2 linked regions of the Oreochromis niloticus genome follow. The protein of the gene in region 2 purifies or fractionates together with the protein of the main gene of each other region. This does not show direct contact. Links are inferred from orthologs where the notes say so. Each region holds a gene or a part of one and is shown on either strand. Other genes may lie near its edges.

What was found.
Region 1: the proteins of ewsr1b (region 2) and probable ATP-dependent RNA helicase DDX17 purify together in Homo sapiens (affinity purification with mass spectrometry; 3 studies listed by BioGRID, with this or other methods). This does not show direct contact. The link is inferred for Oreochromis niloticus from reciprocal best matches to the Homo sapiens genes EWSR1 and DDX17.

The regions. Positions count from the first base shown.
Region 1 is NC_031969.2:9,881,157-9,888,621, reverse strand, and holds the start of probable ATP-dependent RNA helicase DDX17, read right to left. Parts: upstream 3,371-7,465; 5' UTR 3,045-3,370; coding exon 2,995-3,044; intron 2,872-2,994; coding exon 2,712-2,871; intron 2,616-2,711; coding exon 2,519-2,615; intron 2,416-2,518; coding exon 2,282-2,415; intron 2,189-2,281; coding exon 2,123-2,188; intron 1,980-2,122; coding exon 1,838-1,979; intron 1,704-1,837; coding exon 1,543-1,703; intron 1,404-1,542; coding exon 1,231-1,403; intron 1,102-1,230; coding exon 991-1,101; intron 634-990; coding exon 572-633; intron 406-571; coding exon 346-405; intron 1-345. Other genes in the region: transmembrane protein 184B, read right to left, coding at 6,037-6,266, 6,797-6,823, 7,145-7,339. UniProt on the Homo sapiens protein: As an RNA helicase, unwinds RNA and alters RNA structures through ATP binding and hydrolysis.
Region 2 is NC_031977.2:18,648,614-18,656,725, reverse strand, and holds the start of ewsr1b (EWS RNA-binding protein 1b), read right to left. Parts: upstream 3,260-8,112; 5' UTR 3,159-3,259; coding exon 3,143-3,158; intron 2,670-3,142; coding exon 2,633-2,669; intron 2,327-2,632; coding exon 2,275-2,326; intron 2,072-2,274; coding exon 1,921-2,071; intron 1,775-1,920; coding exon 1,579-1,774; intron 1,482-1,578; coding exon 1,225-1,481; intron 1,107-1,224; coding exon 950-1,106; intron 1-949. UniProt on the Homo sapiens protein: Binds to ssRNA containing the consensus sequence 5'-AGGUAA-3'. Might normally function as a transcriptional repressor. EWS-fusion-proteins (EFPS) may play a role in the tumorigenic process.

The DNA of each region.
Region 1 (7,465 bases), on a different chromosome or scaffold from region 2:
ATTAGGTTCAAAGTTGGACTGTTGTGCTGTAAGGGGCTGCTTGGCTAGCCTCTCCCCTTACATCGTCACACTTCATTCAACATCAATCCTTCGTTCAGCTTTCTTAGAGTTTCTTTAATAAAGCAAATGCGACATACTTCTTAGATATACACTTTATCTGAGAAGCAGCGCATGTGTTTGTGGTTGGCCTTTGATAAATTTACTGTGAATAAAAATGCAGACAACAGCCCGATCAATAAATGCTGATCATTATCATTCTAAATACTGAAGAGGGAAATATACTGCATGTGTGTGGGGCTATACTTAGGAAATTACTTGCTTTATACTTGAGCACACATGACATACCAAGCCCACGTGAGGCGACGTCAGTAGCAATGAGGATGGGGGCTTTGCCACTCCGAAACTCTGCAACATGAGACGAATAAAAGGTGATTAGGATCAGTTATTCAATTTAATTCAGTTCAGTTTGTGTAATTATGCAAGCAGAGCCAACACATGGTTCAGGGCAGCACAACACAACAGTGCAAAGACCTGCCATACAATGAAATGTCAGTGAGTGTGTTTATTGTACCTGCTAATACCCAGTCTCTCTCTGGCTGACTCTTGTCACCATGAATACACATCGCTGGCCACCTAGAAGACAAATCAGCAACTTTAACAGCGTGTGCCTGTGTGTGTCTGCTCTTTTGATTTTCTCTACAACCATTCATCTGATGTACTACAAACCAGTGATGGGCAATTCAAGCAAAAGTACAATTCAATATTTACAGTGGACCATTTTGACAAGTCTTCAATTATTGCTCCTAAATGACTGTGCTTAGCTAAGGCTGTGGAATAGCTTAAAAAGCTCCAATATCTCCAGTCCATACACACTCCAGTGTTAAACTGCCCAACTTCAGCATAGACCATACCACTGGGTGACATCATGGTGTCCATTCTTTATTACAGTCTGCAGTTAAAACAGATGCTGGGATGAGTTGGTATACTCACCCGTCACGTCTCATCCTACGTGTCAGGTCATCACACCGTTTCTTGGTCTCAACGAAGATGATGGTCTTGTTTTCCTTCTCAGCCATAATCTCTTCCATCAGCTGGATAAGCCTGAGAAAAGCAAAAGAAGCAAATGCATTATAATTAAAGGGATGTAAACGCACACACCAAACACAGCAGATGCTGTTATTCTTAATGTGAGAAAATAATTCCTATGTGACCAGACCACCAAACTCTTACTTTTGGTCCTTTTCGCTCTCCACGCAAACATCAACAATTTGAAGGATGTTGTGGTTAGCGCTGAGCTCCAGAGCTCCAACATTGATCTGGACATAGTCCTTCAGGAAGTCCTCTGCCAGTTGGCGAACTTCTTTAGGCCAGGTAGCGCTCCACATCAGAGTCTGTCTGTCCGGCTGGGCAAAAGAACCCACCAAGTAAAACACTGTACACTAAAACAGCTTTGACTTAAAACACAAGAGTAAGCAGCAGAAAACAAAAAAACCTAAGAAAAAAACAAAAAGACAGATATAGCCTTTGAGTATTAGCGTTTACCCTGATCTGATCCACAATTTTGCGTATCTGTGGTTCGAAACCCATGTCCAGCATGCGGTCAGCCTCATCCAGAACTAGGTATGTGCAGCGCCGCAGGTTGGTCTTTCCAGCTTCCAGGAAGTCAATGAGACGACCCGGAGTGGCGATGCAGATTTCAACACCTGAGCGAGACAAAGTTAGCATGTTTCAGTGTGTAATATAATCAGTTAAACTGAAAATAAATAAGTTACAGACTAATCGAAAGTGGTTCCCAAAAGGACACAACTGTATGATTGCATGCTGTAGTAGTCTTCACCTCTCTCCAAGTCTCGTATTTGAGGTCCCTTGGGAGCACCGCCGTACACACAAGTGCTTTTGATGCGTGATGACTTTCCATAGTCATATGCCACCTGCTGGACCTGCTGAGCTAGTTCTCTTGTGGGGGCCAACACCAAGCACTGCACAGCACATATATAAAGCCACATCAATCCTCTCTTTAGTGTTTGTTAGTTTTATGTTGTGCTTTGAGGTCTCTAATACAATTAGGTTACTCCAAGGCAGACTACTCAGTGATTAGTGCTCTCCTTTTCTCTTCACGTACAATGGGTCCATCTCCACGCTCCAAGTAGGGCTGATGATTGATGTGCACAATTGCAGGCAGGAGATACTGAAAGAAGAAAAATATGGAAGACTGGTTAATCTTTCACCTGTGAAATTCATCTGTGTGATGCGTACAGGTGCAGAGGAAGACACATCTCACCGATAAAGTCTTTCCAGAGCCCGTCTGAGCAATGCCCACCATGTCTCTCCCACTGAGTGCCAAAGGGAAACCTTGAGCCTGAATGGCTGTTGGTTCCTTGAAGTTTTGCTGCACCAGTACATCCATTACATATTCTAGTTGGAAGAAGCAAAAATAAGGGACGACAAAGTTTCTGGTTATGTATGTCTGCAAACTGTCCACAGTGCTGCAGGTGTATCCATGAGTGCATGTGCTTACGAGGAAACTGTGCATGATGGAAGCTGGTGACAGGTTTTGGGCAGCCTGAGCCTCGGACTGTGATTTCTTTCTTTCTGCGATACTCCTCAACATCATACTGAGAACAAAGAGAAGAAAAGCAACAAGTGAACACAGACTAAACAACACAACAGGTGCAGCTGAAGGTCAGACTGTGACATGACGGACATAATACCTGGCTCATTCGCTGCACTTCGGAATTTTCATTATAGAAGTTTTTCTCAAATTTGGGAAGCTCATTCAGGTCCCATCTCTTCTTTCGTAAGCGTTCCCCGGGATTCCGAAACTTCTTACCCGGGGGTGGTCCGCCTCTGCTTGATCCGAATCGGGGATTGCTGGAATATGACAACGAACTGTAAGGTCAAAGCAACCGCTGCTAGTCACAATAAAAACATATAATAGGGTTTTATGATAACTAACTAGCATTAGCTGACAAGCTAACTTAGCAGTCCTCTTACCCTCTGTCACGACCACGGTCTCGGTCTCTGTCTCCGTAAGAACCTCTCATTTTGAGGGCTCTTAGTAAGTTTTCCTAATGGACCTTATCTTCTACAGGTTGTAAGGCTTTTGCTTACAGATACTTTTTCTGGCCTTGCTTGAAAACTCCAGAAGCTTCACTCGGCGAGACCGTGAATTAGCTTGGACAACTGACTAAATCAAAAATAAATTAAAATGTCGTCTTCGTAAATGCCTGCTGAAAAGTTAAGTAGCACAACCCGCCATATTTCCTTTGTGACAAGCGTCGTTAGGGTTGCAATAGTAATAAGACGCAGGAGATGGTTCTGTGTTGTTGTTAGCTTAACACAGAACCGGAAGCTGCTGTGACTGGCTGGCGGCTGGATAAGCCCCGCCCCTATACTGTGAGTGACATACTCATGGCACGCGTACGTCTGTTTACTTACTTGGCCATTTATTAAACAGCTTTGGAAACTTAATGCAATACACTCACCGGCCATTTGATCCGGTTCACGTGGTCAGCTGCTCCTTAAAGCAAACAGGCCATCAAGATGACCCGCTGAACTACAAACCGAGCTTTAGAATTTAAGGCGATTTAAGTGGCTTTGAAGATGACATGGTTGTTGGTTCCAGTCGGGCTAATCTGAGTATATCAGAAAATAGTGAAATATTACGATTTTCCCACATAACCGTCTCTAGGGTTTACAGAGAATGGTCTGAGAAAGAGAGGGAGGGGGGATAACTACTAAATAACAAAAGTAGAGTAAAAAGCATATACTGTCCAAAACATTACTTGAACAATAGACTCTGTCAATGGTGTTTGCAGGGGTTCTAATATTTTGCTAATGAGAATGATGGAGTCTACAAGCCTGCAAAAACTGCCAGAAATGTCTTTTTATTTTACTATTCATCTTTTATTTCTTTTTGAAACATCAACAGAAATCAATATAGCATCAAAACATGTGATATTACCAATATACAAACAAAAAAAATATCATACAACAAAAAAATTAAAAATAAAACAGGAGTATATATGAAATGAAACCATCAAAACACAAATATATTCAAACAGAGCACTATACCAAGCAATGGCGTCCCATTGTCGTCGTCATAAAGGTTTTGCAGCACTAAGTTTGACTTTATTTACAGCGTTCCTTCCATTTGGATATAGTATTTTCTGGATTAAAATACAATAAGCTTTGCAAAATTATGATCTGATAGTGTTTTGAAGAAAATGCTCAAGTATGAAACGCTCAGAACAAACACACTCGACCTTGATTTTAACTGAAGCAATGCAGGTTTAGTAGAAAGATACACAAGTGATGCGGTCACTGGGGTGGGAGGCGGGTGGCGGCTGGATGGGATGTGGGTCACAGATGGAATCCAAACACTTTCACCCACCTTCTCTTGACCGAATATGATTTTCTCATTAGGACATAAACTGAAAACACACACATCACTTTGGCTGGGTTGACTCCTTTTCTCGCAAAGGGTTGGGCGGTGATGTACTATGTGTCGACCCGCAGTCACTACCTCCAGTCTGTTAAATGGATATACACTCAACATAAACAGAATCTCAGCTTTTATACAGCTGTGCTCTGCCATTAAAACATTTAGAACCACAAACCACATGCGAGTTATATACCAGCCACTGTGTAAACGCATATTAAACATAACTGGATAAAATATGAATGCATAACTCAAACAGTTCCAGCCATCTTTTGGAAAAAGAAAACATAATGCCAACCAGAGGATTTCTGGCCAGCCTGAAGGTGTTTAGTCACTTTTCATGTCCCTGTACTGACCACCAAGTTTAAAATGCTCAATATATTCAAGTACAAATGTGATTTCAATCTGATTTAAAGCCTTGTTTTCACCAACATATCTTCGCATTCTCTATCTGTAGCGACTGACAACGTGACATATTTGCCGCTGCTGTCGTAGTGATGCCATTACAAATGACACCAGCAGAGGCAGCGCCAATCTGTGCAGCATGTAATGCCATTAATTATGAGATCACAATCCAGGGTGCATCACAGCTGGGCCGACTGTGCAGGAAAGTGTTGCTCCATCAGTAATCTGTAATCTGTGTGGGCGCTGTCCTTCCGTCAGTCCTCCTGCCTACGCTAAAAATCTCTCCTACAGCTGTTACTGTGCTTCTCCCCAAACAATAGAGAGTCTGGCCAACAGCTGGAATGCCATTACATTACATAATGATGACATCCTCAGTAAACTCATAAAATTTCTAGGATAACAATAACATAAACCTTCGAGCTCAAACAACATTTAGATAAAATATTTATTTGTCATTGAAGTCATATATTAAAAATAACCCCTGCAATTCAAAGGCTACTTGAAAAAAAATTAAAAAACAATCCTAAACTTTAAGACAGTGTCTTGTTATTTGGAGCACAGGGTGCTATTTGGCAATATATAGTTACAAAGAGTGAGAGCACTAGCAGAGAGGTGAGGAGGAATATTGATTATGAATCAGTGTAAAGCGTAAAGAATAAAGAGGCCATGTGTCTCAGAAGAAGATGGCACTTACTTTCTCCAGCTCATATCTAACATTTTTAATGCCATAGTGTCATTAGTGCAGGATTAAGATGGTATAATGCAGGCACAGTTATCTGTACGAATCCATTTTCCACGGGTGAATACAAAAATCGCATTTCTTTCAGCGATGGCCTAAAATCACAACTAAAACAACACAAATAACAGCTTGGCCAGTTAAAGAATCAACCTCACTCCTCCCTCACTTTATTTGTAATATCTACATTCTTTTCACGCTCCTCATTTCCGTGCTGTAGCAATCATTTCCTTTTTCCTTAGAAAAGGACTCTGCCCTGTCTCGGTTTCAGCAATCTGGCAACCATGACATAAATCTGATCTTTCACTGTTATCTAAATGTGAAATAACCAGAACCACAGCCTGAACTTCCACGTTGAGGTCGGAAAAAAAGATCAGATTCGTCTTCCATGGCTGCTAAAAACTTGAGAAGGGCTACAGGAGTAAGGGTTAGCTTCCGAGTGTGTGTTTGAGTCTCAGAACTCATCATCAGAGCTGAGTAAAAGAGTCTTTTCGTTGTCCCCGCGGGTGCTGATGTTACTGTGGCTGCGGGAGAGTGGTGGCCCTCCACTTCGCTCTAATGTGGACTGCTGGGTGTACTGCTGATAAGCTGGGGAGAAGTTATGGATGGCGTCCTGGACCATGTCTCCTGGATTCATCGTCTCCTTCAGGCTGCTGGAAATGCTCTTCATTGGGGCACAGCGACCTGGAGGTGTGATGGGAAGGTGGTAAATATTAAGAACGAGACACTGAATGGAAGCGATACATGAGCGAAAAAAGAAAGAAACTATGTTTCCATCCCAACTGCCAGCTGGATTGTCCAAATAAACCTAAGCAATGTTGCAAAGAATATAAAATATATTAAGATAAATATTATCACTCCATCTGGCATATTTATTATCAAGGCAAGGGTTTACGACAAGGGTAGGACCACAGACTGAACAAAGTGGGAAGGCAAAATGACGAAGGGCGGAATTAACTGACAGCAAAATAAATGAAAGAACACAAAACAACACAGCGAAATATCCATAATTTCAAAATCTAATGGAAACATCAATATCTGCATTTTCTATACAATGCTGCAAATGAAACACTGAACTGAAACACATAACACAAGCGATGGAAATGTAATTTCCTTTTAAACCACAATCAAAGAGAAAAAAAAGACATCAAATTCCATTTTAACATAAACAACTGAGTCACATACAGACAAAACATAGCTAACATCAGACGTACCGTACTGTCCATAGATAGGAAATGAGCCTTGAGTGCCGCAGAGTGAAGGAGGAGGAAAAGGAGAGAAAGAGATAAGAAACACAAGAAGGTCAAGATGAAAATAAAAGAATAGAAAAGAGGGCAGATGAAAAGAGAACAACTCAAAATAAACAGATTGTTAAAGATAGGAATCAAAGTAAAGAGGGAGGGACACAAAGAGTGAGGTCAGATTAGCTTTGAAAGACTTCATCAAGAACCCTCTGTTAATCACATAATTACAATATTATAATACTCTGTTAGTTGCTCTTTGAACATTTCACTCTCTACTACAACCAGACATCAAGGCACACACATAAACATGCCGCTTACCATATGAATCCAGCCTTTTGTCCATGTAGACCTTGTAAGTAAAAGCATGGCGCAAAGCAATAGCAGCAAAGAACATCTCAATGCAGATGATGAAGTTTTGGTAGCCAGCAGCAACTGTTCCCTCCCCCACAGAGAAATCAGCAGAGTTGATCTGGGGGATAGCGCCACACTTCTCCAGGATGGCCAACAACATCCCTGAAATATACAAAGATAAAATATGAAAACATAAATCAAAACAGTGATGTATTACTCCATGAGAGTTCAGCAACATTTGAATCTGTGCATGGAAATCATGACAAGAGACTAAGCAGCAACCTTTAG
Region 2 (8,112 bases):
CTGTGTCTTCTTGTAATTGATGTCATTTACTTTTGAGGGGTTTTTTTTAAACAACCATTTACACATCTAGATTAACTTAAAGTGCCATTTCCCGCCTTTTTTGGCATTTTCTCAACCCACTGAAATAGGGACAAATACATATTGTCACCGGTAGCTCTTTAGAAACCTATGAGACTCTGAAAAACCACCAATGAATTGCCAAAAAATGAATAATAAATAAAACTTATCAAGAAAATGTACTGACCCAAATACTGCACTCTAGTAAAACACAAACGGGCATGTGAAATGGAACTTAATGTGCTACATGAGCCCAGCGTCCATTTATACATTTCTTAAAATACCTGTCGTGATATGACCTTACAGGACTAGACTCCAGCATCTAACTGTATTATTCCAGTTAGTCACCCTATAGAGAATAATTCAGCATGCTGAGAAACTGAACTGGTGGGAAACTAAAGAAAGTAGGGTTAGAATTCTGTATGTATTTATGTAGATATTCTTACAGATTGTACCATGTTCCCTGACAAACGTTGAAATCTGAAACTACGTTTTTCTATCCTATACTGTTGATACTGCCCAGTAATCAAATCATGGTCTAGGATATAAGCTGTCCAACCTAAATTTTATGCACAGGTCTGTGATCAAAATCTGCACTTTTTTTTTTCCTTCTTCTTACCTTTGGCCAAGAGAGAGGCAGGGTTGAGACAAAACTCATTCTTATACAACATATGCCACTGCATGTATTATACTAGATACATGCAATTCATTAGCGCTGATTGCTGATGAATCAGTATCAAATACTAATAAATTCCCCTTACAAGACTGCCGTTATGTTTTACTGTATTATTCTGATGTTACAGCAGGGTTTGTCTCAGCTCTGCCTCAAATGGCAACGGCACCTGCAGAGACTGAATAAATGTGAGATTAAGTGCTTAAGAAAGACACTTACCCCATGCCGCGCCCCATGCCTCCACGCCCACGATGCATCATTCCACCTCGGTCAAAGTCCCTTCCAGGGCCCCTGCTCTCCCCTACTCCAGGGTACCGCGTAGGCTCAGAGCCTGGATAACCAGAACCTCCACCCTGCCCATCCTGCCTGTAACTGTCTACAAGAGGAACAACAACATCAAAACATGCAGTCGTCACAGAATGATCACAGTGGAATTGAACACATGTGTTTAGTTGAGAGAACAGCTGTTTAGGCAGGAGGAAAGCAAAGCTTACTGTAATGGCTGGACTGGTTGTAACTGGGTGGTCCACCTTGCTGGTTGTACTGGTTGGCTGGAGGCTGCCCGTATGATCCACCGGCCTGAGGAGGGTAAGCAGGAGGAGCTTGTTGCTGTGGCTGGGTCTGCTGTTGGTATCCCTGCTGCTGGTTGTAGCCTGCCTGCTGGCCTTGGTAACCAGGTTGTTGACCATATGCTGCTGGCTGGGAGTAGCTATTCTGGCTGTAAGTAGCTGGCTGGCTGTTAGCATTGTAACTGATGGAGACAAAGCAAAGACAGAATGCAAGTAATCCGATAAGCATGTTCTTCTGGAATTCCCATGTTTTGTTGTTGTCAGATGAGATGTCCATACCTCTGAGGGGCAGTGGGAGCAGCCTGTTGGCCATAACCAGGGTAGGCAGACTGAGCCGTGTATCCTGGCTGAGAGCCATAAGACTGGGAGGCAGCTGGAGCAGCAGCAGCAGGAGTACTGTCATAACCACTGGCTCCGTAACCCTGGGTTGACTGTGAATAGCTGTGAGTAGCAGACTGGGCAGCAGGGTAGCCAGCTGTACAAAAGACATCACATATCACAAAGGGAAAAAAAGAAATTTGATATTCATTCCTGTTAATTTTTCAGGAATCAATACAAGCTTTGCCACATTGTAATTTGACTGTTTAACAACAGAATAATTAAAAAAAAACAAAAGCTGACCTGATGCTGGTTGGCCATATGATCCAGATCCATACTGTTGCTGCTGCTGGGGGTAGCCTCCAGCTGCAGGTGTTGTCTGACTGTAACTGCTATCAGCAGCTGCTGCAGCAGGTTGGGTATATGAGCCATAATTCTGCTGGCCATAGCTTTGCTGAAAGAGCAAATACAGTAGCCATTAGGCAAAATAAACCTCAACTAAGCATTATTTAAAAGCTCCATTTGCTTAAAGCACAAACAACCTATGACTGCCAGCAGTAAACAAATAACCATCCCAGGTTTTCCCCACAATCATTAAATGTTTTAAGCACAAGGCATGCTTTGATCAAATCTGCACAATTAAATCAATAATGGTACCTGAGCAGATTGTCCATAATTCTGTGAGGGCTGGGCAGCATAGGAAGCATACCTGTAAACATATGCATCAAAATTTTAGGATCACCAGAAATCTGGGTACTGCCTGAAAAAACATATCATGCTGTGCACTGTTTAAAAATGGTCTTTATCTAAAAGATGTTTACTACGACCTAAAGAAGGTCACAAAAACACCAAAAGTAATCCATGTTTGGATATCGATTTTTAAAAAAAATTATACAGGTTTACATTTGCATCCACCCTAATCTCCGCTTTGTTTCCTTTCTTCGAAAGAATTAGGTCATATTGGATGGTTAAAAATCTCTAAGCCATTTTAATAAAGTTAACTGAAAAATCTTACCCCTGTTGAGCCCCGGTCTGGTTGTAGGAGCTGTAATCTGAAAATGGGGAAAAAGGTTAGTTTAAAAAAATAAAACAAAAAACAATAGAGTCTCAGATCTCAGCGCGCGAGCCGCACGTTACAGGCCCGTTCTTATGTCGCCATTCAAAACCGAGACAACTGAGCCATTCACTAAACCTAAACACTACTTCACAGCTAACGAAACCAGTCAGACATCGACGCACCCGTTAAACAGGATTCATTTTAAATCGGTAATATGCGGAAAAACCCAGTGTGCGCAAATGAAAAAACATATCCGGAGTAAATACCACAAAGACTCGACGTGCTAACTTGTCTAGGCCTCGGACGCGGAGGGAACTGGGTTCATGTTATTCAATAAAGAAAAGTGGCTAAAAAAGACGAACTATGCAAACATACTCACAATTAGGATACATTCATGCAAATTAATGTTTCAATAAATAACAAAATTTACTTTAAAAGTCAGTAATTGTCGCATTTTTTTTTACTCACCCGAAGCAGACGCCATTTTAGTGTGCCTATAAGAGACGAATGGACGAAGAATGCTACCGCAGAAGTGCAACTCTCTTCGCGGCAACCGCGAAATCTCGCGACATAACGCGATACTGTTTGGGGGCTGTTGTAGCGAAAGCATTACAGGTTTACAAATCAGATTAGATCAGGGGTGTCCAAAGTCCGAGTTGGCCCGCGGTCCATTTTTAATTGGCCCTCAAGTAATTTTATAAATAGAATAGAAAATGGCCCGCACTTCAACTTTTGCTTGAGTGTATTGCACTTCTTAGTTTTAACACCAGGGGGAGCTACTGTTGATCAAGGCAGTTGGTCTACCAAAAAGGACAATCACAGAAGAAATTTACCCCAAGTTACCAAACATGGCAGAAGCAAAAGGTAGAAAGCAGTGATGGCCAAATGAAGCTTTCTGAAGCACTGAAGCTTGTATTGAAAAACGGTTCATTACTCGAAGCTTTTCAACACAGTCCTCTCTGGTGACATCTGGTGGCCAAAAATATGAAGAGCAGCTTGAATCCACAAAATAAAACCAACTGCTTCATAATGATAGCCCACTATACAGAGTGGAACTCTGTCTCATATTGGGCTGCTGTTGTGTTGCTTTGAACGTGTATTTTTTGGTGTTAAAAAATGTAGTTTATTTGTTTAATAAATAATTTTGACAAGTAAACTTTCCTTGTGTGAACATGCACCATGGTTTGGTCTTTCTTTGCTTGTGACTTCTTGATGTTGGTAAATACAATAATTGAAAAATACCACGTTACATATAACATACATATAATAATGCACATTATGCAGTATGCTTCTGCTGTGAGGTCCTGCCTCCATGTACTTATGCATTTAATCTCTAGACGGGTATATTTATAAATAATATTATATTAGGGAAATTTTCCTATACATATTTTTGACCTGGGGGTAGAATTGATTGTGAAATGGAAAGGGAAAATGCTTATGAACTTGCAAATTAATAACATGATGCATTTAAGGAAACCCTTTTTCATTTTTATTTAAGAAGAAAATTAGTTCCACTGTGCGATGGACGAATCTGTTCCTTTTCGTGGAGATAATTTCTCCTGCCTTAAGGAAAATCCCTTCACATGGCACAGAAGAGAAGAGGCTAGAGTGCAGAAAAACTGGTAGAGATGCAGTTATGGCTCCACAAACTATCGGCTAAAGAGAATAAATAAATTAAATTGCTGCACATTTTGTAGACTAACATTGTAAGATTATTTTTTTAAATAAAATATATCTTTTTATAACATTAAATGTTACGAGTCAAATGGAAGTTATTTACTGATATTTATATTATGAAAAGCAGATTTTTTACATTTTAAGTTTTTCCCGTTTTCAGATAAAATAAAGACGCACAAAACAAAAGCAAACAGCCAGAACACAAAGCTGGAAAACCCACCCGATTGACCAGAATCAACTCAAAATACTTCCACACAACAGAACCAAATCTCTCAGTAGAATGATCAGTGGTTCGCTATCTGTCACCATCAACACACTCCACAAATCCCGCAAATGATTCACTTCGTTCCATTTGAATCAGATACCGAAGCAGTTGCGTGCGTAATAAAGCTTCGGACGTCACTGGTCACGTGACTTTTGCTAAACGAAGCAAGCCTCGACACAGTGCTTCTGAACCAGTGTGTTGTTTTTTTCGACACACGCTCCGGAGCGTCAGCTTCAAGCGGGCCATCACTAGTAGAAAGTGTGTAATGAACCGCTGATCTGTACCATAAGTCATCCTTGCGGGGGTTGTCGGAACTGTATGCGCAGTCGCACTAAGGACAGATGTGCTCAGAGGCATGCCCCGTAACGTGTATGAGCGGTCTGTCGTGCGGCAGGAATAAGTTGTACAAAGTCCATCTTAGACATGTGTGTCATGCAAGCTAGCAGCATCCCATGAGAAACGGGCCGAAGTGTTTAAGTGTTCACCGGAGTTTGCACCCTTGGCAAGCGGACTGAGGTATGTGATGAGAGGTGATCTGTTGTTATATTTTATTTAACCGAACTGTGTAACCCCTTGATGCTGTTTGAAGTAACCCCTTTTTGTTTTATTTAATCTGTGACTGTATATCTCAGAATTACTTGTTTGAACTTACCTGAATTAACTTGAGCTCATTGTTGTTATTGCTCATTGTTATACTTCAAAAGGACTGTACGGGTATCAATTTTTTCTTGTTTTATAGTTTTCACGGTGCTCAATGTCCAGAGAATGAGGCGTGTGTGGTGAGGAAATAAATGGCTGCACCCGTTAGAGACTCTTTTGTCATTCTTGATGCCAAGGGCTGCTACAAAGTGAGTGCAGAAAATTTCAGACACGGTGGGAGAGTGAATATTTTTTCAAAGAATTAAAGGGGAAGTGTGTCTGTTTGATCTGCACTGAAACTGTGGCAGTTATGAAAGAGTATAATGTACGACGTCATTATGAAACCAAACATCAGGCCTATGCATCCTACACTGGTGCTGAGCGAGAGCAGAAATTAAAGCAAAGGGTAGCTATCCTGCGGGGTCAGCAACAGTATTTTTTTCGTGCTCAAATTGTCCAGGAAAAGGCTCCAATAGCCAGTTATGAGGTCGCCCAACTCATCGCAAGACATGGCAAGCCTTTTTCAGATGGAGACCTCATAAAACGCTGCCTCGTTAAAGTCACCGAAATAATGTGCCCGGAAAAAGTGCAGGACTTCAACAACGTCAGCATGTCCAGAAATACAGTTGTGCCACGCACTGAAGACTGTCAGCCAACATTAAACTGCAACTGTCTGATAAAGCTGTGCTTTTGATTTTTACTCCATCGCATGCGATGAGAGCACCGATGCCACAGACACCGCACAGCTGCTAATTTATTTATTTTTTTGCGGGGAGTGGACGAGAGCACGAGCACTTTAGGTGAGTAAAAACTACATTCCACAGTACCCGCGTGTTAATATGCATGCATGTGCAGGTACACATGCTTCAAATATCAATAATGCGTATCAATTCTGTCACTACCCTGCTTTTGCGCACCACTTTCTTATATGCGTTTTTCTTGTTAACACACAGAGTACACACCGCTGTGCACAGCGCACGCACACGCAAAGTCAGCTGATCTCATCTGATGCAGATCTGCTCCTTGATCAAGTGACATTTGTCCGGATTTCTGGCACGAGTGGCGTACGATGAGCACCGCGGCTGGATGGCCCGATTTACATACCCAGCGCAGCTGATACTCACCAGAATAATTTACTAAAATTATATGCACTCCTGTTATTAAGTCCAGTTCAATCTGTTAATGTTGATAACCGTTTCAAACGAACGTTAATAGGTGTGTTGCTAAGCCTAAGAACTTAAATAATAAGCTTGAAATGTACCCGTCCCATTTTCCCCTTTATTGTTTTTCCTCTGTACTGTAAATCTTCTGTCCAAGAAGAAATCTGCTGCTGTTCTGAGAATGAGCTACCAAAGCTTTTTCTGAATAAATCAATAAAGATCCATTTATGGAAAGCTGTGATGAAGGCAGTTTTGTCTTTAATTATATTCAACAATATAACACATTTGACCACTTTTAAATGATTTTTCTAACATTAATACACTACAGTTAAGGTTATATACCTAATTTCTAGTAAGTGGCCCAGCCCCTCCTATATTTTTATGTATGTGGCCCTCAGGGATAAAAGTTTGGACACCCCTGGTCTAAAGTCTTTCATCTTTAATAAAATGATCAGCGTTCTTCTCTACCAGGTGTAACAACTGAGTTTAACATCCAGGCATCCATGAAAACGGAATTTATGACATTTAACGGAGCTAGAAGTTAGCAGGAAGTTAGCTCGCTAGCTTCTATCTAAATACAACATAGCATGTCCTGACTGCGGGGTTTTGGAAACAAATTAAAACGTACAGCTCTGTTATCACTTCCAACATAAATGAAGACAGAAAACTAAACAGCAGTGACGTTTGTAGGGTTACTGAAGTTTGGCTAGCTGGTATATAATGATGTGCTACGTGACCGCTAGCGACACAGCTGTGTTAGCATAATATAAACAAGCTAACTTTTTTTCCCACTCGATAAAAGTTAACGTGAGTGTTCTCGGTGGTCAGGAACAAATGTAATCGCATGGCAGGATGCTGTAAACGGACCAAACTTCAGCCAGGAGAACAACTGAGATAATCCATCCACAATACGAGGTTAGTCATTAATATACTGCTGCATGGGCTGGGCTGTAGTTACATCCTAAGGTTTTAAAAACTGAGCTTAAATAAATGTTTAGCGGTAATAAAAGCCGAGGGAGGTCAACAGTGATCACTGACTGTTTTAGGAGCTTTTTGAGATTAAATAGAAGAAAATACAAAACATTAAACATGTTAACAACACAAAAGCCATATTAAACGCAGACTACTTTAGGCCCGGAAGTAGGATTCGTCACGTCATCACTTAACGACCGGATTCTTCTGTTGTTAATTTTTATTTTAATTTATTAATTTTTTAATTAATTTTTAAGTCAGGTTGTTATTGAGTTTAATCGCTTTTTCTGAAAATCCATTCCATTTGAAGTATTTATGAATAAAGTGATAAAGTTCATTTTGAAATATTTAATTATAAAATATCTCTTTATTGTACATTAAATTATCAAGCAATGAATTTTATACATACATACATACACACACACACACACACACACACACACATATAAAAACACCCAGCACGCCCCTGCGGGCGGTTTATCCTTCAAGCTCGGGTCCTCTACCAGAGGCCTGGGAGCTTGAGGGTCCTGCGCAGTATCTTAGCTGTTCCCAGGACTGCGCTCTTCTGGACAGAGATCTCCGATGTTGTTCCCGGGATCTGCTGGAGCCACTCGCCTAGCTTGGGAGTCACCGCACCTAGTGCTCCGATTACCACGGGGACCACAGTTACCTTCACCCTCCACATCCTCTCGAGCTCTTCTCTGAGCCCTTGGTATTTCTCCAGC